Schizosaccharomyces pombe: one gene and its partners. The gene in region 3 interacts genetically with the main gene of each other region. Each region holds a gene or a part of one and is shown on either strand. Other genes may lie near its edges.

Region 1 (5,521 bases), on a different chromosome or scaffold from region 3:
AATGCTATGTGTGTGTGTGTGTGTATGTGGAAATGTGTTAGTCAGTCAGTGTTTGCTTGAAATTCGCTGTGTGAAAATAATAAAGTGAAAAATAAATAAAAGGTTGTAAAACCGAATTCGTACAGTAAGGTGAGCGCCGACAAAAGCTCTTGAGAAAAAAAAAATCATGCTGCTATCAGTATTCGAGTCTTTTCGATTTCGTGGCAAAAGGAAGTTTTCCTCACATGTTTTTGTGCGACAATAGCCAACCCCATTCACTTAATTCCTTAATTTCCTCAAGGGTCAAAAAGATTAGGATAGCTGAATAACGTTTTGCATTGCATTATGTTGCAATACGATAGTAAGACATTATAGGGTATATATCATAGTTGGAAAGTGCGGATGTGCATTTTAGCAGACTACGTTATCATTCAGTAAATGTTTGGGATCTAAACTCTCATTTCTCCAAAAGATTAGAAAGCATCTACTTCTTGCATCACAACAAACTTTTAAACTCCATATTTGTTCAAACTAATTAATAAATTTTTAAACAATGCCTCCCAAGGGACTATCGCTTGCAGAGAAAAGAAGAAGATTAGAGGCCATTTTCCATGACTCTGTAAGTTCGTGATATGATTGTTCAAGTGCCAAAACATGATTTTTGCCCATTCGTGTCTCACTTTCCACATTGCTAATCTATGTTTTTTTTATAGAAAGATTTTTTTCAACTAAAGGAGGTGGAAAAGCTGGGCTCTAAAAAGCAAATCGTTTTGCAAACTGTAAAGGACGTTTTACAGTCTCTCGTTGACGACAATATCGTCAAAACGGAAAAGATTGGCACTAGCAATTACTACTGGTCTTTTCCCTCCGATGCTAAACGTTCAAGAGAGTCAGTTCTCGGATCTCTTCAAGCTCAACTTGATGATTTGAAACAAAAATCTAAAACTTTAGATGAAAACATTAGTTTCGAGAAATCCAAAAGGGATAACGAAGGAACCGAAAATGATGCCAATCAATACACTTTGGAACTGCTACATGCAAAAGAATCAGAACTAAAACTTCTTAAAACACAACTTTCAAATTTAAATCACTGTAATCCTGAAACCTTTGAATTAAAAAATGAGAATACTAAAAAGTACATGGAAGCTGCCAATTTGTGGACCGATCAAATCCATACTTTGATAGCTTTTTGTCGAGACATGGGTGCCGATACCAATCAAATTCGTGAGTATTGCAGCATTCCAGAGGATTTGGACGATCTGCAACTACCGATTTTGTGAACTTGACATGCTTCCTTAATTCAAAGAGTTGTTTTCCTTATTAATATTTTAAAATTTTATACATTTTAACAGTTACATATAAAATAGCTTACTCGACGACAAGACTTAGCTTTTAAAAGATAAAATTATAATTAGTTGGAATAATATTAAACGAAACAAAACAAAAGTCCAAATTCCTCAAACTTATAGTATTTGTTAACTTTGAAAGAAAAAAAGCATGTTTCTTTTTTTATAGTTTTAACTTTTTTTATAAATTTACGTAAGGTCATTAATTAAAATGCGACTGTTGTAACGGTTCCAAATCCAATGCCATTTCTGGCCTCAACAATATGAAATCTAAAAGCTTCTTCATGAGTTAGATTATCGAAGTGATGATGTTTCATAACCACATAAATAAGGAACCTTTGAGTCAATTACTTTACATGGTTCATAATGATTGTTCATGAACGGATATCTGATCGCATAATCTAACTCAATTTTCCGTTTTAACAGTCATTTCATCACTGTATAGGATTTGACGCTCATGGTAAAATAATAGGTAACTATAATCTGGTTAGTATGTAAAAAAATAACAGCAAAGAGCCTACGCTTGAGAATTTAAGACCTCCGATTCCTTTACTTCCACAATTGTGGTGTCATCCAGCAAAAACCACTACAAAAATTAGTAAAAATTTCCATAAAAAATTCAAAAAAAATTTAATATACTTGATTTTGGTAGTATGTATAGGCAATATAGTGCCCTGTGTCGAGAGTTCCTTTATGACACACAACTGAGTATAATTGATAATCCACATCATCTTGATTAAAGTTGTAGCGCATTCTTAAAAATGCTGGATAAGATACTTGCTTATCTATTTTAGTTGACATGGCAAAGTTATTTTGTTCAAATCGTTTCAATTGCATGCAAATAGTTGGAGGTAGTTTGTCAAAGACCAATTGTTTAATAGCATTTTTTGACCCGCAACTATGACAGCTATATTGAACTTTCTCTTTGGAAACAAACCTAAAATAATATTTGTTAAAAAATCTAAAAACGAGCAAATTTTACCTTTCCAAACATCCTTGAAGTGTTGGCTCATTGATGTCTAAACTAATGTCCATCAAAGGATCCACAGCCACCCGCTCCTTCTTGCAATCTAGGCATGTAACAACGTTTTTCAGAGATCCACTAAAAATACGATGAATAGGACAAGTGCACGGCATTGATGTTCCTCCTCCGCTTTCCGTATGCATTTGGTCCAGCAAGTATACAAAAAATTCGTGGCCATCTTGCTGGGAGTAACCACATAAAGATTTGCTGAGTTTCCACATAAGATTTAAGACAGCAGTGGGACCGTAAAAAGTAGATTTGTTTTTAGAATTATAAATAGATGAAAACATATCGTCAATGGCACAAGTCATGCAAGTAGGTCGCTTACAATCAGTAGAAGTATGAAACCCACTGAAAAACAAGTTTCGAACCAATGGATTATGCAAAATACTTTGTAAAATGACGCTCATGAAACAAGTAGCACCCAAGTTCTGGATCCCCCTCAAGCCTGCTGTTGCGCAAACTGGAGGGTATTTTCGATAGGCTTCTAAGCAAACCATTTGATTGTACTTCTCGGGAAGTCTCTTGTGATCACTTTGCCATGCCTTGATATTCTTGATCTTAAAACGAAGGGTTTCCAACTCGGTCTGATAAACGTAGTCTTGACAGCCAAAGCAGTAGGTATGGCCATTTTTTACATCCACGCCTAAGAATTAGTAATTGGTATTCGGGAATTGCATCCTAACTCGATATTCGCAAAAAGGTTTCGTTGCTAAATCAATAGCTATGTTTTCAACTAAACGTACCGATCATATGAGTGTGCTCCATTGCGTGTTCTTCACCATGATGTCCCCAAAGACATCCCACAGAATGACAACTCAAGCATCGAATACTCCGCTTGTTGATGCGTTTGCAAGTACTGCAGCGACGTGGGACAAACTAAATGAAAGAAATGTTAAAAGGAATCGAATGGAAAAAGAAAATTGAACTGTATGAAGTGTTGTTCACAAGCCTTACATGACAACTGAATATCTGGGTACAGATCTTTTGATAGTTTTCAACATCCGCCGGTTTAAGTTTAAGATGCTGGCAACCTTCTACATCCCCAGGCATCCTTGATACGTACAAAATTGGCCTTTCAGACTAAAAAGCATCTGCTTCGATGCAGGGTGAAACGACAACAATAGACGAACTCGCTATTCTGGCAAAAGAACATTATTTCTCTTTGCTTAAATTTGGGCAATTAAGGATGCGGTGTACAGCGTTAAGAGCCATAAAGTACTCATAGTGTCTGCACTACTAGATACCGATTTCGTATAAAGAGCTATCATAGCTACGCTAAGTCAATTGATAAAACACCAAAATAGATGTTCTTCGTAGTTCTTGAGTGTCCTTGGTTTTCCTCTTTAAAACATAAACTTGGTAAATTCCCATAGATTTGGCTGTTGAGTCACTGCAAAATAAAAAAAATTACTGCTAGTCCTTTAATCACGGTTGAATAGATGAAATTGTTAATTTTTTAAAAGCTTGGTCAAATTAGACTAATGCCTCTATTAACGTCGAACGTGTTTAAGTGTACGCTTATGTTTGTTGCCATGAAACGTTTGCAGGGCTAAATATAAAACCATATATGACTATTTACCGTGAGCATCTTTGTAATACAACCGAGTCACTGCAAGCAGGTACATGTACGAAAATTTTTGTCTATTACATTTGTATAGAATTTATTACTTAACAATTGACTAGGGGCAGATTTTTGTGCCGAAACAGTTTGTGTTACCCTAAATAGAGATTGTAGGGCAACAATACGTCTGCAGAAGTTCAAATATATATGTAGCAAATGAGTGTGACTTACTTAAAAATTGGTTTTTGATCAAGAAATAAAATCCTTTGGTGCTTTTTCTTTTTTATGTCTAGCCTTGTTGAATGTATTTTTCCATCACAATGTTGATCTTGTCTACTCAATAACACACTAGACTATGTTAAGTACACTTGCCCTTGCCCAATCTGCAATCGGACATCGTATTTTATTTTTGCATACTGAATTTACGTGTATTCGTAGTTTCACGAGTTAACGATTTTCGAATATCCAACTCTCATTGAACTTATAATAATCCGTAATCCTTTACCTTTTTTTTGATTACAAGTGTCTAATTAAGTTTTCTAAATCAAGAGAAATCAAAGATACAAGCAAAGCTTTTTTTCTTACGTACAATGAAGGGTTTAGGTCTAAGTACGAGAACCTTTAATTGGAGCTCACTTTCTTCCATTCTTTTACCAAGAATTCCTTTAGCTACTACAAAAGCCGATTCCTTGATTTTGGCTGTTCGTCACGATAAACAAGTTTTTTCTGAAGATTATCGACAAGTTGTTGACCAGTATTTTGAAACATCTCCCAAAAAAAATGACATTCGTCTCTTTTGGAACACTCAGGGTTTTGTTCGTCTTGCCATAGTCCAGCTTGAAGAAAACGTTTCTGAAAAGTCCGTTCGTTCAGCTGCTGCAGAGGCAGCTAAGATTTTAAAGTCGAATGGTGCAAAGTCGATAGCTGTCGATGGTATGGGTTTTCCCAAGGATGCTGCCTTGGGTGCTGCCTTGGCCACGTACGATTTTTCTCTTCGTAGAGACCATTTGAGCGTCTATCAAGATGAAAAGGTGGTTGAAAAGGAAAATTTATTTACCTCTCCTGCTCCTGAAAGGTTAACTTTCCAATTGCTTAGCAACACATCTGAGAAGAAAACTGCAACCGCAGAGGAGAATGCTTTTAAGGTAGGTTTGATTGAAGCAGCTGCTCAAAACTTGGCTCGTTCTCTTATGGAATGTCCTGCTAATTACATGACTTCTCTTCAATTTTGTCATTTTGCTCAAGAGTTATTCCAAAATTCCTCAAAGGTTAAAGTATTCGTTCACGATGAGAAGTGGATTGATGAGCAAAAGATGAACGGTTTACTTACCGTGAATGCTGGTTCCGATATTCCACCTCGTTTCTTAGAAGTACAATACATTGGTAAAGAAAAATCAAAAGATGATGGATGGCTTGGTTTAGTTGGAAAAGGTGTAACGTTTGACAGCGGTGGTATCAGTATCAAGCCTTCTCAAAACATGAAGGAGATGCGTGCTGATATGGGTGGTGCTGCTGTTATGCTTTCCTCTATTTATGCCTTGGAACAACTTTCCATCCCCGTGAATGCCGTGTTTGTTACCCCTTTAACTGAGAATCTTCCTTCTGGCT
Region 2 (5,525 bases), on a different chromosome or scaffold from region 3:
AGTTCAAAGCTCGCTTAACTCAACCTAAATTTACACCACGGATAAATTGTGATGTCAATATGCAATGAAGCCGCGTTGATAATTATTCAGTCATAAATATTCAATATGTTCAAGTCCAGATAATTACACATTATATCTTCAGAGGCTTCAATTTTTTACGAACAACATCAATTTTTTAAAACCTGAGCATAATCTATAATTTTATAAACGTAGTTTTCCGAAACAACGAATCACTCTTTTATTAATTTGCAGATCAAATCACTCTTTCACAAAACAAAATGCTTTCCTTTTTTACAAAAAATACCTTGACTAAAAGGAAGCTTATTATGTTAGCTTTGGCTATAGTTTTCACCTTTTTTGCCTTCGGGCTATATTTTATTCCGCACGACGAGATTTCTGTTTTTGATTTTAAACTTCCTGCACTTCAATATGAAACTACGGTGACATCTCTCGATAATTTTTTGATCGGCGGAAGCACAACTTTGTATACAGCAACCGTTAATCACGAAGATCTCAATGAACCAAAATCACATGAAATAGTAATGCTTCTTGCTAGCGATGGAAACGTTGGAAGTTTTGAATCTAACTTACTAGATGATTGCTTTAAAAATCGTATAGAGTATGCGAAACTTCAAAACTACAATTTTGAATTCGTTAACGTTTCCAGTCTGGTAGTGCCACCTGTATGGGGAAAGATGCCCGCAATTCTACAAACAATGCGCAAGTATCCATCCGCAAAATGGATCTGGTGGCTAGATCAGGATGCTCTTATAATGAACAAAAATCTGTCCTTACAGGAATTATTTCTCTCACCTGCAATGCTCCAAAAATCATTGCTTAGGGAGCAACCAATTATAAACTCTTTCGGAGAAGATAATTTCAGAATCACTCCAGCGGCTTACTCCAAGGAAATGATAGAACAAATACAATTTCTAATTTCTCAGGATCATAACGGATTGAATGCAGGAAGCTTTTTAGTACGAAATTCAAGATCCATCGCTTTACTAATGGATTTATTGACTGATCCTTCTTTGGCAGATGCAGGAGTCGTGCGTCATGAACAAGATTTGATCGGCTATTTCATTCAAAAACACTCGCAGGTAGCTTCCATGGTTGGCATTCTTCCTCAAAGATTTATCAATGCTTTTCATGAAGGACCCCCTACAATGCAATGGCAAGAAGGAGATCTAGCTCTTCATTTCGCTGGATGTTGGGTTGAAAACAAATGCGCCGAGTTATGGACTAAATACAAAGATAAAATAATTTAAAAGGCTAAATCAATGCCCAAGTGTCGGCGCGTTATAGCCTCTAACATTTTCAATTGCATTTACAGTTAATTTATTATTACTATTTATCTTTTACTTCGTTATATTAATGCCGTCTTATTTAAACATAAATGATTCGCTCCATAAATAATTATGAAGCTGCACATTTTTACAAATCTAATTAATTTTCTTAAAAAAGAATAAATTCTATAAAATGCTTCAAAAACAACCCTCTAGACATAAAGTATCTTTTTCTAAAAAATATTAATGTCTAACACTAATTAAACTATCCTGTTTGGACCTCAGGCTAGTTTAAGCATCAAAAATTGCTAAACGCTTGTGATAATAATTAAAATTGGGGTTTGTTCATAAGGTCTAATGAGTCCATAATGAAGGAGAGATGAGAGGTATATTAAAATCAACCGCAAGTCCAAAATTATATTCTAAAAATAGGCTGACCGAAAGCAAATCACCGCTAACGGGATTTATAGACAGACGCAGGTAATAAAGTTGTATACATAGCCAGCAATCAAAGAAAGCTGAAGAGATCTAAACAATGTGCGTTTAGACAATAAGGATAGCAAGTCTAAAATAAAATTATGGTAATAAGTTAAAGAAATTTTCAAATATATAACATACAATTAGATTTTAACTTCTAATTGTAAAATAAGGTCACAATACAGAAAAAAGAAAGGTATTCCTCCTTTAATGAGTTTCATACTTATGAAAAGACAGCATTTCGCCATAAGCAGCATACCAGTCAGCTAAATATACTGGTGCAAATTCTGAGCTACCAATATTCCAGAATTTTCCGTGTGCTGTTTTTAAGAGAGGACGTTCGTCAATTGAGGGCCACACGCCATTGTAATAAGGATCAAGACGAGTCCAGGGAAACCATCCGTCCAAGGAAAATGCAAGATTCAACAAGCTTTGCTCCATCATTTTGGCATTCTCATACATATAAGGAAACCTTCCGATTTTAAGTATACGGTTAAAATGAAGCTCGCTTGGACGTATAAGCATTAAGCCAGCATTGAAATAAGGAGTATCTTCTGGAGGTATACTATGATGCTCTCCTCTATCAGAGACGGCTGCGAGAAGATAAGGGTAAAATTCGCTTCGACTGGCACCATATTCTTTAAAATCCTCATTGAAGTGATAGACGGTATCATCATCAGGCTTCGTGTAGGAAGGTAGCCGTGTATAGTTCAAGGTATTAATTTGTTGGTACATATAAGGAGTATCAAATATATCATCAATGTTCTTCATGATCAATATATCACTGTCAATTACGCAAATTTTGTCAAATTGTATTTGTTCGAAAATTCGCAACTTCGAAAACATTTGTTCATATCTAGCAGATATTTCTTGACTAAATGAGGATGTATCGTATACAATATCCGATGAAGCAATGGGGTCTATAACAATCACAGAAGCACCATCCTTTCGAAAACGTTCAATTTTCCACTCATCTACTCCACGGAGTGCAAGGATATGGATAGGGTATTTACTTTTGGTAGTAGGATGATATTTCAATCGGTGAATTAAAACCCTAGTAGCGTTGAAGTAGTAATCCTCTTCAGTAGAAGGCATAGTAAACAAACTCATATACGTATATTTGCCAGGCTCTTCTTTTAAGACGGCATTATCATTTTCCTCAACAAAGTTGTTTTTTAATGAAGTAAGCCGGTCATTAAGGGTTTGCTTATAATCGTGTCCGTTAAACACTAAGGTTGTCATCACAATAATCAAAACCACAGAAAACAACAGGAATTTGTAACGCGGAAGAGATAAAAAATTTGAAAGTGAAATTCGAGACATGATAAGAGATTAATTCAACGAACCGCTGAAACAATAGAATTTGAGACACGTGAAATTTTCGAAAGCCTTAAAAAAATGAAAAAAGGCTCTAAAGATGACTCCCTTTATGAGGATGTTACCCTCTAAAATTTATTTATTTCTTTTACCCTTAAACGACTTGCGTTAACAACCCTTTAAAGAAAAAATATCCGAGATTTATGTTTCATCACGCGGGTTGCTCTGCATTTGTCAATTTATTACCAGCACGTTGTTTGTACCATGTGCCGCGCTATATTCAGTTACAGTATTGTAATTCAAATTGTGGAATTGCCTTTTACAAATCCTAACGCTTTGTTTTTTCACAATCATCTTAGTTTGTGTGTAATGGTGTCAACTTTCGAGCTATCTGGATGTTGAAAATTATGAGCTTAAGCATGTAATAGAAATTGACACTAATGAATTAATTTGGTGAAGTTGTTTCAAACAGTGAAAAATCTGACTGTTAGCTGGAAAAGTATTGGAAATACCATTTAGCTTATTGGTAAAGTAAATATTGTGTAAATTTAACGAAATATATTTTGTCGATAAATCTATTCAAATATTCTTTCTCCTTGACCTGATAGACCTCATTAATCGGAAAATGCTTCTAGGTTTGTAAAGACACAAGTGTAAACAGTGGGTGCACAGACGTAATGGAACCACCGTTAAAAAATACATCTTTTAGACTTAGCAACTAATCTATATCTTTATAAGGCCAAAAGCCAGTGTAATCAATATAAAATAAGGACATACCAATACTTTGTAGGGCCAAAAAACAAGATAAATAAAAACTTAGTATAATCCGACACGAATGATTCAATAAAACTTCTATCAGCATTTAACAGAAAATGGCAGCTGCGGTGAAATGCAAATTATTAAAAAGATTTATTAACGCCAAACTGTTATTCCAATCTTCAATATTGCATTGGTAAATTGCCAAAGCAAATTAGTTGAACCAACAGAAACAGCTTCAAAGTCAATGTGAAATATATACAATATATAACAATTATTGATGGACGATTGTGTAAAACAAAACTCCCAGATATCTCGCTATAAAAAACTAACCTGAAACTTTGATTGCTATGGCACAACCGCTATATTAATTAGGTATGTAAAGATTAAAAAATAGTAAACATTATTAGAGATTCAGATAAAGAAAGGAAGATTGACGGAAAATTATACGGCGCTTTGTTTATATATATAAAATTTTTTAAAACACAAACAAATTAAACAGACGGATATAATGAATAAGCAACTTAGTCAATCAAGGCGTAAAACTTTTGCCATAGTTCATCGCAGCGGTTTTCAACCCAACATCCAGCAAAGTGAATTACCAAATCACCTTTTTGCCATTCCATATTTTCCGGACCTTCGTGAAAAGCATTTATTTTTCTTTGAGGAATAAGGCCAACCAGCGAAGCAAGTTGTGAATGCTTAGAAATCAAATATCCAAGCATGTCTTGTTCATTATTGGCTTTCGCACATTCTGCAACAACAGGATCTGTCCAAATATCCAAAAACAAGGCAGTAGCAGGTGAATTACGGAACAAGATACTACCTGCGTTTAATCCATTGTGATCCTGTGAGATTATGACCATGAGATTTTCGATATCTTTTAAACTATAATTACTTGGTGTATAACGCAAATCCCCGTTAGCATTTATAGGCCGTTTAGTGAGGATGGTATTAGTAATTAAGGTCTTTTGCAAGTTCTCAGGTTTCAAAAAGGAGTCTTGAAGGGAAAGATGGGTATTAGTAATAATTGCATCCTGATCCAACAACCAGATCCATTCCGCTTTGGGGTATTTCTTCATAGTTTGTAAGACGGCGGGCATCTTGGACCAAACGGCGGGAATAGGGAGGCCAGTAACATTGACATACTCAAAGTTGTAGTTTTGTTTGGTACTATAGTCAACTCTGTTCTGTATAGCTTCTTCAAACGTATTAGCTCCATTATTGTAAGAAGTGTGTCCATCACTAACTAGTAATAAGACAATATTTTGACTGGCAGGATTTTGCTGAGGCTCTGACTCGTATGACGCCTCGTGGAATGTAGTGCTTGTGGCCACCAAATGAGAGTCTAACGGCGCCAACTCAAACGAGTGATTAACGGATGGAGTGCCAATAGCATCGGAGAGCATGGGTGCAATTTGCTGATCATACAACTGGTTAACCTTCGACACCAAATCAACGTCCACAAAATATATCAACGAGTATAGAAACGCGCCAGCAATCAAGCCGACCGTTAAAAATAAGAAAAAAAAACGACGTGGAATCCTGGATAACATAAGTGCCATCTTTAGGTTATAACAATTCTTCAGTAAATCAATTAGAAATAATGAAACAATAACTGGAAAACTTTTTTTGAAAAAAAGGCTTTTCCGAAATCTTAAACAACCACTAAATCAGATTGTATTAAGG
Region 3 (8,019 bases):
GTATTAAATGGCTGCAAGGGAGCCATAACTGATTTACAGTGGAGCAGGGATTCACGCGTAGTTTACTGTTCTTCCTCCGATACACACCTCATGTCTTGGGACGCTGTCTCTGGTCAAAAAATCCGGAAGCATAAAGGCCACGCTGGCGTGGTGAATGCTTTAGACGTTTTAAAAGTTGGTTCCGAACTTCTGACTTCTGTAAGTGATGATTGTACTATGAAGGTATGGATATTGTTATTAAAATATGGAATAGTTACTAAATTTAAGGTATGGGACTCGCGGTCAAAAGACTGCATAAAAACAATAGAAGAAAAATATCCCTTAACGGCTGTCGCAATAGCGCAGCAAGGAACCCAAGTTTTTATCGGTGGTATTGACGGAGCTATTAAAATCTGGGATTTACGAAACAATCACTGCTCGCATGTTCTGAAAGGGCATAAAGATATCATTACTAGTTTGGCTATATCTAAAGATGGATCTAGCTTACTTTCTAATTCTATGGACAACACGGGTATGCTAATTTTTTTTGGGTGTTTGATCAACCTTTGTACTAATGCTATTTTAATTTATAGTTCGAATATTTGATGTAAAACCTTTTGCTTCTGCTCAACGACAGTTGCAAATTTTTGAAGGAGCTATTCACGGACAGGAGCATAATTTGTTAGGTGTTGCCTGGAGTCGTAATTCACGATTCGTTGGTGCTGGTAGCTCTGATAAAAACGTATATGTTTGGTCAGCCACAGGCGATTTACGTTATGTATTACCCGGACATGAGGGTTCAGTAAATCACGTTGACTTTCATCCACATCAGGACATCATTCTTTCATGTTCCTCAGATCGAACAATATTTCTTGGGGAATTGAATTAATTTTTATTTCATGAATAATTTTTCAATAAACATTAAATACTATTAAAATTTTCTGTAGAACTTATTATTTGACGATCTTAGTTGTCAAGCCTGTTATAATTCCTATAACTACAAGTTTCTTAGATTTCGATTAATTATCAAATTATATGCGTTATGAGTACATCTTTATGGTAATGATACATCATCTAATCTTATTTCTAATTAAACAGGTTAAATAACTTAGAAGAATGGATGAATGAGGACTATATTCGAGCAATTTTTGAAAATGTTAGAAAAGTAAACTATTATGAAGATGGCGAGTCGGGAGCTATTTTAAAAACTTGCTGCATTGAATTTGAGAGTCAAGATGCTGCTAGGAATGCTTTAGAAAGGCAATCTACTCAACGATTAATATCTGGGAACCCGATCTCTTTAGATGTGGTTCCTGAATGGCAAAAACCTAGTTACTATATGCTTTTCATTAGTAACATTGATCCAGAAGTGTCTGAAAATGATATAAAATACTTGTTTCAACGTTATAACTTTATTTCTGCTCGTGTTCTACGTTGTGTTGACGGGACTTCAACTAGCATTGCTTTCATATGGTTAGCTAATGAAAGTGATATACAAAACGCGCAGGTAGAGATGCAGGGTGCCTTTTGTTTAAAAAGATCTATATTAGTTCATTCCGTCAAATCCGATAAAAATACTTACTTAAGTTCGCCTGGGTTTTATGGTACACCTCAACCACTAAATCAATTTACTGATCCAAACAATACAGCAGTTTATGTTCACCAACTCCCCGAAAATATAACGACACAAGAGCTACGATCATATTTCCTCCACTTTGGTGAGATTTTATACACTCAAGTCAATAATAATAGTGGACGCATAGTCTTTGCTCAACGATATTTTGCTGAGCAGGCAATTAACGAAATGAACAATTTCCCTTTGCATGGTGTTAGGATTCAGCTTTCTTGGGCAAGGCCCCCTTCGATGGCTCTTTTACCTTCCAAGCAATCTACGTATTGGCCGGCCCTTGCTGCTCCTGTATATCCCTCCATGAAGGATGTACCTAACAATCCCTTTACGCCGTTTTCTCCCATCAACCCGTATTATGCAAAATCCTGGAATCATACTGCTTCAGCACCTTTGCTTCCTCCAGGTTTAAAAAATGGTTCTGACTATCCTTATCTTTCTGTACCTCCCGATATTTTGAATGATAGTTATCTGGCAATGTGTGAAGCCGTAAACTCACGTTTAGATGCTGAATCAACTATGCTTTTACCCGTGCATTACTCACAAGCTTAAGAAATTAGCTGCAAGGCAATGCATCATTTGGTAAAGTAAAAGGATCTTAATCCAATATAAATTTTTATTTGTATAGCAAATACTGTGTCCTGCAAAAATAATTATTTTATAATCCATCGGACCTTTGGTCGAATATATTCTCTAAATTATTCTTGATAGCAATTGCTTATAAGTATACTCGTCGTTTATTAAAAGGTGTTTCAAATGACAAAAAACAAAATGGGGGGTTTGATATAACTTGAAATGCTAAACTAATATAACAAAATGGATTCTAGATAATATGTTTAAACCCTTATTACAATATTCTACAAGGCATTCATATTCTGTTTATCATAAATTTTGGACTGCTGAGACCTTCAAGTTAAACAATGCTTGAACGATTGAAAGTTATTTATAGAGCATCGCTCTTTCTGGCTCCGGCAGCTCTATTTGTCTCATAACGTTTAATCAATGAAACCGATAGCTGTCCTACTTGATTCAATTACCGCAATCAAAGTTCTGCTAATCTACATTCAAAACAAGTTGATCTTGGACAAAGATTCAAAAATGAATTTTGAAATTTCACGACTGATGAAATTGTCCTCGATTAGCCAGTAATTGCTTATTGAACATCCTTTTGGATATAAAATGAATCAAACTCTTTAATTAATCAATTAGGAGTGCTTATTAATTTAGTGAACATAAGCGTCGCAAGAAGATTAAGACTGAATTATCCGACTGTATCGTAAATGCAAGGTTAAGTCATAGTGAAAGCTGGGAACCATGATCATGCTAGGTCAATTGTATGCATTAATTTAAATAAATAATAACCAGTAATATAATAACACCAACCGATCGTACAGATGAATAGAGTAAATATTATATTTACAATTAGAGTTATATAGCACTGATCATTGCATAGATTAATAATAGAATAAATATAAAGCACTATAGCAAGAATAACAAGGTATTGATTAAGGTTGAGGGAAAAGGCGTTGTTCAATATATTCCTTTTCGGATGGATCGAACCAATCATGGCCTTGCTTTTCTGTGATAATCTTGCCATACTTTTCAAAATTTTGTGCACATGTCTGAAAGACAAAGCACCCAGCAAAATGAACACATAAATCACCGTCTTCATATCCCCAAGCAGGATCAGAAGAATCATATGCGTTTATTGAACGAAGAGTAACTAGCCCAACATGTTTATGCACAATGGGATGACTATATATCATATGAGAAAGGGCTTGTTGTTCGACAAATACACCATTATGTTCTTTATAAAGTGGTTCATTCCAAAAATCCAGCATCCATGTTCCTACTTCAGAATTCCTTATTAAAAAACTGCCAGCATTAATGCCATTAAAATCTTGAGCAATGATAAAATGTATATCATCAGGGTCTTGATTTTTAGGTGTTCGGAATCCTTCAGAGTCAATGCCAAATCCACTAAAATATTCGGTGTCGCGCAATAAAAGAGAATTTAGCTTTTCATGCTTCAAAATGTGATCAACCAGATTCAAATCACGATTCATAATTAAAGCATCGTGATCCAACCACCATACCCATTCAGCATCTGGATATTTTCTAATCACATTTTTAATCATGGGAATTTTAGCCCAAGGGGCAGGCTTGTCGCCAATTGAAGGTTTGTACTCATCTAAATCTAAAAATTCAAACTTAAAACCATGACGTTCTGCATAGTCGCGGCGATTTTTAATAATCGTTCTAATATAAGGATTTAAGGGTGAGGAAGGGTCATTTTGGGCATTGGAACCCATCAAAAGGACTATCTTAGAATTTTCAGGATGAGGATTAAGTGTGCTTAACTCTTGAGCTGTGGCAGTAACCGTTGGGGTTACTGTCGTAGTTTCTGTAACAAAAGACGTAGATGTAATCGTTTCGCTGACACTGGTGTGTAATGGCTCTGTGTAAACGATAGTAGTTGTTTCGTAAACTGCATTCAAAATTGAAGAATGTTCATTTAAGAAAAGTTGTACTTTCTGGTCGAGCCTAGTACCAAGGGTAGCATTCCACCATACTCCAGAAATAGCAATTATGCTGAGGATCACTGCTGGTATAACATAAGAATACCAACGCATTGTAAGTATGTAAGAGAAATTAGAATTGACCAATCCTTGGATAAATAAATATGTTCAAAGTAATGAAAAAATACCAATGATAATAAAAATGATAGCGAAGAAAAGAAAGAGCGGTGTAAATATCCTTCTTTAAAAATTGATGCAATAAAAGCTAAGATTTCTTATAAAATACTTAGCCTAAACTAAGATGTTAGATAAGTTCAGAATGTGAGAGGTAGATGTTCGTAGGCACTTCACAGCACACACATGCTCACAATAGCAGGCGAGACAATTTAAAGTACCTTTTTAATCTTATCGTTTACTAACACCAAAAAATATACCCTATTTACCCAAAGCAATAATCACCAAGTGTCCTGAAAGAGTGTATGTCAAATATAATGAACGTAGCGGTAAAGTGGAGATACAAGGTTTTATAGAGAGTGACCTATAAAAAATAAAATAAACTTTCGACCGATTCTCGTGTTACCATTCAGTTAAGTGCTTTAGAGGAAAGCTACTAAAACTTTTGATGTAGTTATAATGAAGGGAAGGAAAGCATGTACGCGTTGAAATTTAGTACATTTCAAATAAGTATATACGCTATGACTCACTATTCCTTATAATATATTAGCATAACTACACTACGTAATATGCGCTACGTTACAGTATCACTATATGCCATATGTTGGATTATCAGTTAAGATATGTTTATCAATAATTATATATAACTATCTTTATACACATGGATTCCCATTGTTAAAATATTTTAGAAAGATTATTAAATAGAGCTACATGAACTGAGGAGCGAGATTTAGTTATAAGCAGTATTAGTGACAGGTAACTATATAACCTACTTAACAGAATACCTATACTTATGGTACTTATATTATCTTCTTATTGCAATATAATAGATCACAAGGAAAACTCACTGCAGTACTATCGTTAAAACAGATACCAAAATGCATCGCTAACTTAATAAATATCGTAATGAAGCAAGAAGAATTCTCGATATATCAAACGTTTGTGATTAACGAGATTCTAAACGTTGTAAAACCTCGTTATACTTCAATTTTGATGCTTTTTCTTCTGCTGCATTGGCAAACATTTTTCTGAAGTGCTTGGATTTTTAAATTAAAATGCAAAGCGTCGCTTTCAATTTATCGGTTTCACTTTTTATTGTTGTATAATTTTTTGAGAAGAATATTAGTCTAACCTTTAGTTTGCACAATCGGAATGTAAGTATCAATAAATTAAGATTCTTTAATATATCTGTTGGAATCGTTCTTTTTTTTTTGGATGCACTACACCTTAAATTTTTAATATATATGCGATAATTGTACTCAGAAAAGCAAATGATAGCATTTTGGAATTCGCTTCAGACCTTACAGAGACTATTCAAAGTATTCTTGGAATTTAAGTTTGCAGCTTCGAAGAAAGTCGTAACTATTTTCTAGAACTGATTTTTTATTTCATGATAACGTTAAAATTTGCCCAGCAATAACTGTATTTTTGTGTACTTTACCAATAGCAATTTAGATTTTAACTAGCAAATCAAAGAAATATGGAGTTGTTGTCCTTCTCCATGCTTAATATTGCAGCCATATTTATTCTTTACTAACTCATCACCTAGCGATGTTTCGATTCCGTGTCTTTAGCTAAAAAATTGTTATGGTATAAAGATTCACGGATCGGCCGTTAAAATTATTCAATTACTTAACCAATAGAAAGGCCCCAGATTCGATTGCTATACCACTACATATTCGTTTACAATAATACAATATTACGGTTGAAGTATTTTTAAACAGCCAATCATTTTTTTTATTTTCAAAGCAATTTTGTTTAAGAGAATAAGACAGAATATTATTTCATAGTAAAAGTATATAATTATATTCTAATATACCGATATTGTAATGACGATAAATTATTTTTTAAACTAATTTATGGCATGTTGATAAAGCCAATGAAGGGACTGAGTAAATTGTATACCTCAAGCAAAAATTCGCTAAGCAAACGACAACTTCATCATAACCTGATGTTGAGTATGTTGTTGACGAGTAATCCCTTGTTTAATTTTTGTAAAACAACCGGATATCGGAAATATAGCAAAGGGATGAGAGCGATGGTACAAAAGTTGAGGTGCCACATTGGAACAATATTTAGTCATTATCCGAAATTTGTTATCCGTTTTTTAATTCCGGATGACATCTAAATGAATTGGGAGTTAATAGCCACTGACACGTACACTATAGAGTTAGTACTTGATTAAAAAAAAGTAAGAGAAATAGAGCAATCCTCAACCTTGTTAACTTTTCTTATGAGGTGTTAGCATTAATTCTTGTGTTCAGTCTTGCGCTCATGTCCGTTACTTGTGTAAAAATGTACGATATGTCGTCCCATATTAGTAAATGCCATGAATTATCATCCATCACTGATACCAAAATAAACGGTGATGATGAATTCAACAAATTCAAAATATCGTTATACACTGGTACTCATAGCTATTCTGTTTCCCTAGTGGAACATGTTATTCTCTTTCCTTCTCATATCTCTCGTAATGTGACGTCAAATTATAATATTCGTGTAACGAAACCAATCAGCAACCAGCCTTTCAATCAACCAATCACATAATACCTATATGGTCGAAAAATATGATAATATTGCTTTAAAAGTCATAATAGTTTTGGATGAGCGAGTTCAACTTTCAAGCTAGTCATTCAATTTAACGTTTTAATATAATTTACCTAATTTTTTTTAAATATAGAGAATGAATTTATGAATGAGGGGCATATGGTTGAATTTGAGATTCTATATATCGCATTCGAGATTTAGTAATATTGTAGCATTTCATTCTAGATTAACATAATAAATCACACACTAGCATGCTCTTGACTACTCTCTTACGCGGCAACGTAGATAACGTACATCAAAAATTTTACATTCGAATGGTGTTTTATTACGATTAGTTTAATATTTCGGCAAAGCAATTTGAATTTCAGTAAATGTAAAGGATTCTAGGCACTTACTATGACGTTGAAAAATAATATAAATATAAGCTTGCTTTCATTAAAACAACATCGTTAGCGAATAAATTCTAATTCACTTTTTCCTTCATTTGAATTTTTATTCTACTACTTTAAAGGTCTTTCATTAACATAACGACTGGCTAGAACTGCATTTTAGATTGCTTACCTTATATCAAATTCCAATTATGCTTAGCAAAAAATTTACCCCTTTGTCTTTGAAAAATGCAGCAAAATGCATAAATAATAGTTTGCGTTCTACTTATGCAATTACTGGAGTAAACCTTACGAGAGGACTAGCCACAAATTCAAAAGTTGATCCTAAAACCTACGCTCCTAAACCGGAATTTAGCTCGATTGCCGTTCGTGAAATGCTCCGAAAGTCATGTCTGCATGAATTCACTGATGAAGAGGTTGCTACGCGTATTGAGTTAGCTGCGGCATATCGTCTTTTTGGTTTAGAACATTGGAATGAGAATATTCTAAATCATTTGACTGCCAAGGTTGAGGAACCTGATGGAACCGCTTCATTTCTGATTAATCCTTATGGTTTACGATATGGTGAAATTACCGCTAGTAGTCTTATTAAGGTTGATGAGGATGGAAACATCAAACATCCTGGTGTTACGGGTGATGTTTTTGGCATCAATCGTGCTGGCTATGTTATACATAGTGCGATACACAGGGCTCGTCCAGATGTGAAGAGCATTATGCACAATCACTATCCATATGCTGCTGGCGTTTCATGTGTTAAACATGGTTTCCTTGAGCTTGCTCAAAC

Evidence for each region. Genes that interact genetically often act in the same process or in processes that back each other up.
Region 1: of gmh6 (region 3) and ubp8, changing one suppresses a phenotype caused by changing the other (phenotypic suppression), as found in Schizosaccharomyces pombe (2 studies listed by BioGRID, with this or other methods).
Region 2: mutations in gmh6 (region 3) and otg1 impair growth when combined (synthetic growth defect), as found in Schizosaccharomyces pombe (one study listed by BioGRID).

What each region holds. Positions count from the first base shown.
Region 1 is NC_003424.3:577,989-583,509, forward strand, and holds ubp8 (SAGA complex ubiquitin Ubp8), read right to left. Parts: upstream 3,493-5,521; 5' UTR 3,403-3,492; coding exon 3,307-3,402; intron 3,229-3,306; coding exon 3,096-3,228; intron 2,996-3,095; coding exon 2,308-2,995; intron 2,263-2,307; coding exon 1,965-2,262; intron 1,961-1,964; exon of another isoform or gene 1,912-1,960; coding exon 1,847-1,911; exon of another isoform or gene 1,802-1,846; coding exon 1,732-1,801; 3' UTR 1,365-1,731; downstream 1-1,364. Other genes in the region: protein Mcp7, read left to right, coding at 533-598, 693-1,259; ysp2 (peptidase family M17 cytoplasmic leucyl aminopeptidase yspII (LAP yspII)), read left to right, coding at 4,504-5,521. UniProt on the Schizosaccharomyces pombe protein: Histone deubiquitinating enzyme component of the transcription coactivator SAGA complex. SAGA acts as a general cofactor required for essentially all RNA polymerase II transcription.
Region 2 is NC_003424.3:164,450-169,974, forward strand, and holds otg1 (alpha-1,3-galactosyltransferase Otg1), read right to left. Parts: upstream 3,291-5,525; 5' UTR 3,087-3,290; coding exon 1,971-3,086; 3' UTR 1,365-1,970; downstream 1-1,364. Other genes in the region: alpha-1,2-galactosyltransferase Gmh1, read left to right, coding at 279-1,268; alpha-1,2-galactosyltransferase Gmh2, read right to left, coding at 4,361-5,401.
Region 3 is NC_003423.3:4,404,950-4,412,968, forward strand, and holds gmh6 (alpha-1,2-galactosyltransferase), read right to left. Parts: upstream 4,758-8,019; 5' UTR 4,240-4,757; coding exon 3,112-4,239; 3' UTR 2,336-3,111; downstream 1-2,335. Other genes in the region: U5 snRNP complex subunit Spf38, read left to right, coding at 1-222, 268-511, 573-868; U1 snRNP-associated protein Usp109, read left to right, coding at 1,022-1,038, 1,078-2,158; SPOM_SPBC1289.14 (adducin), read left to right, coding at 7,427-8,019.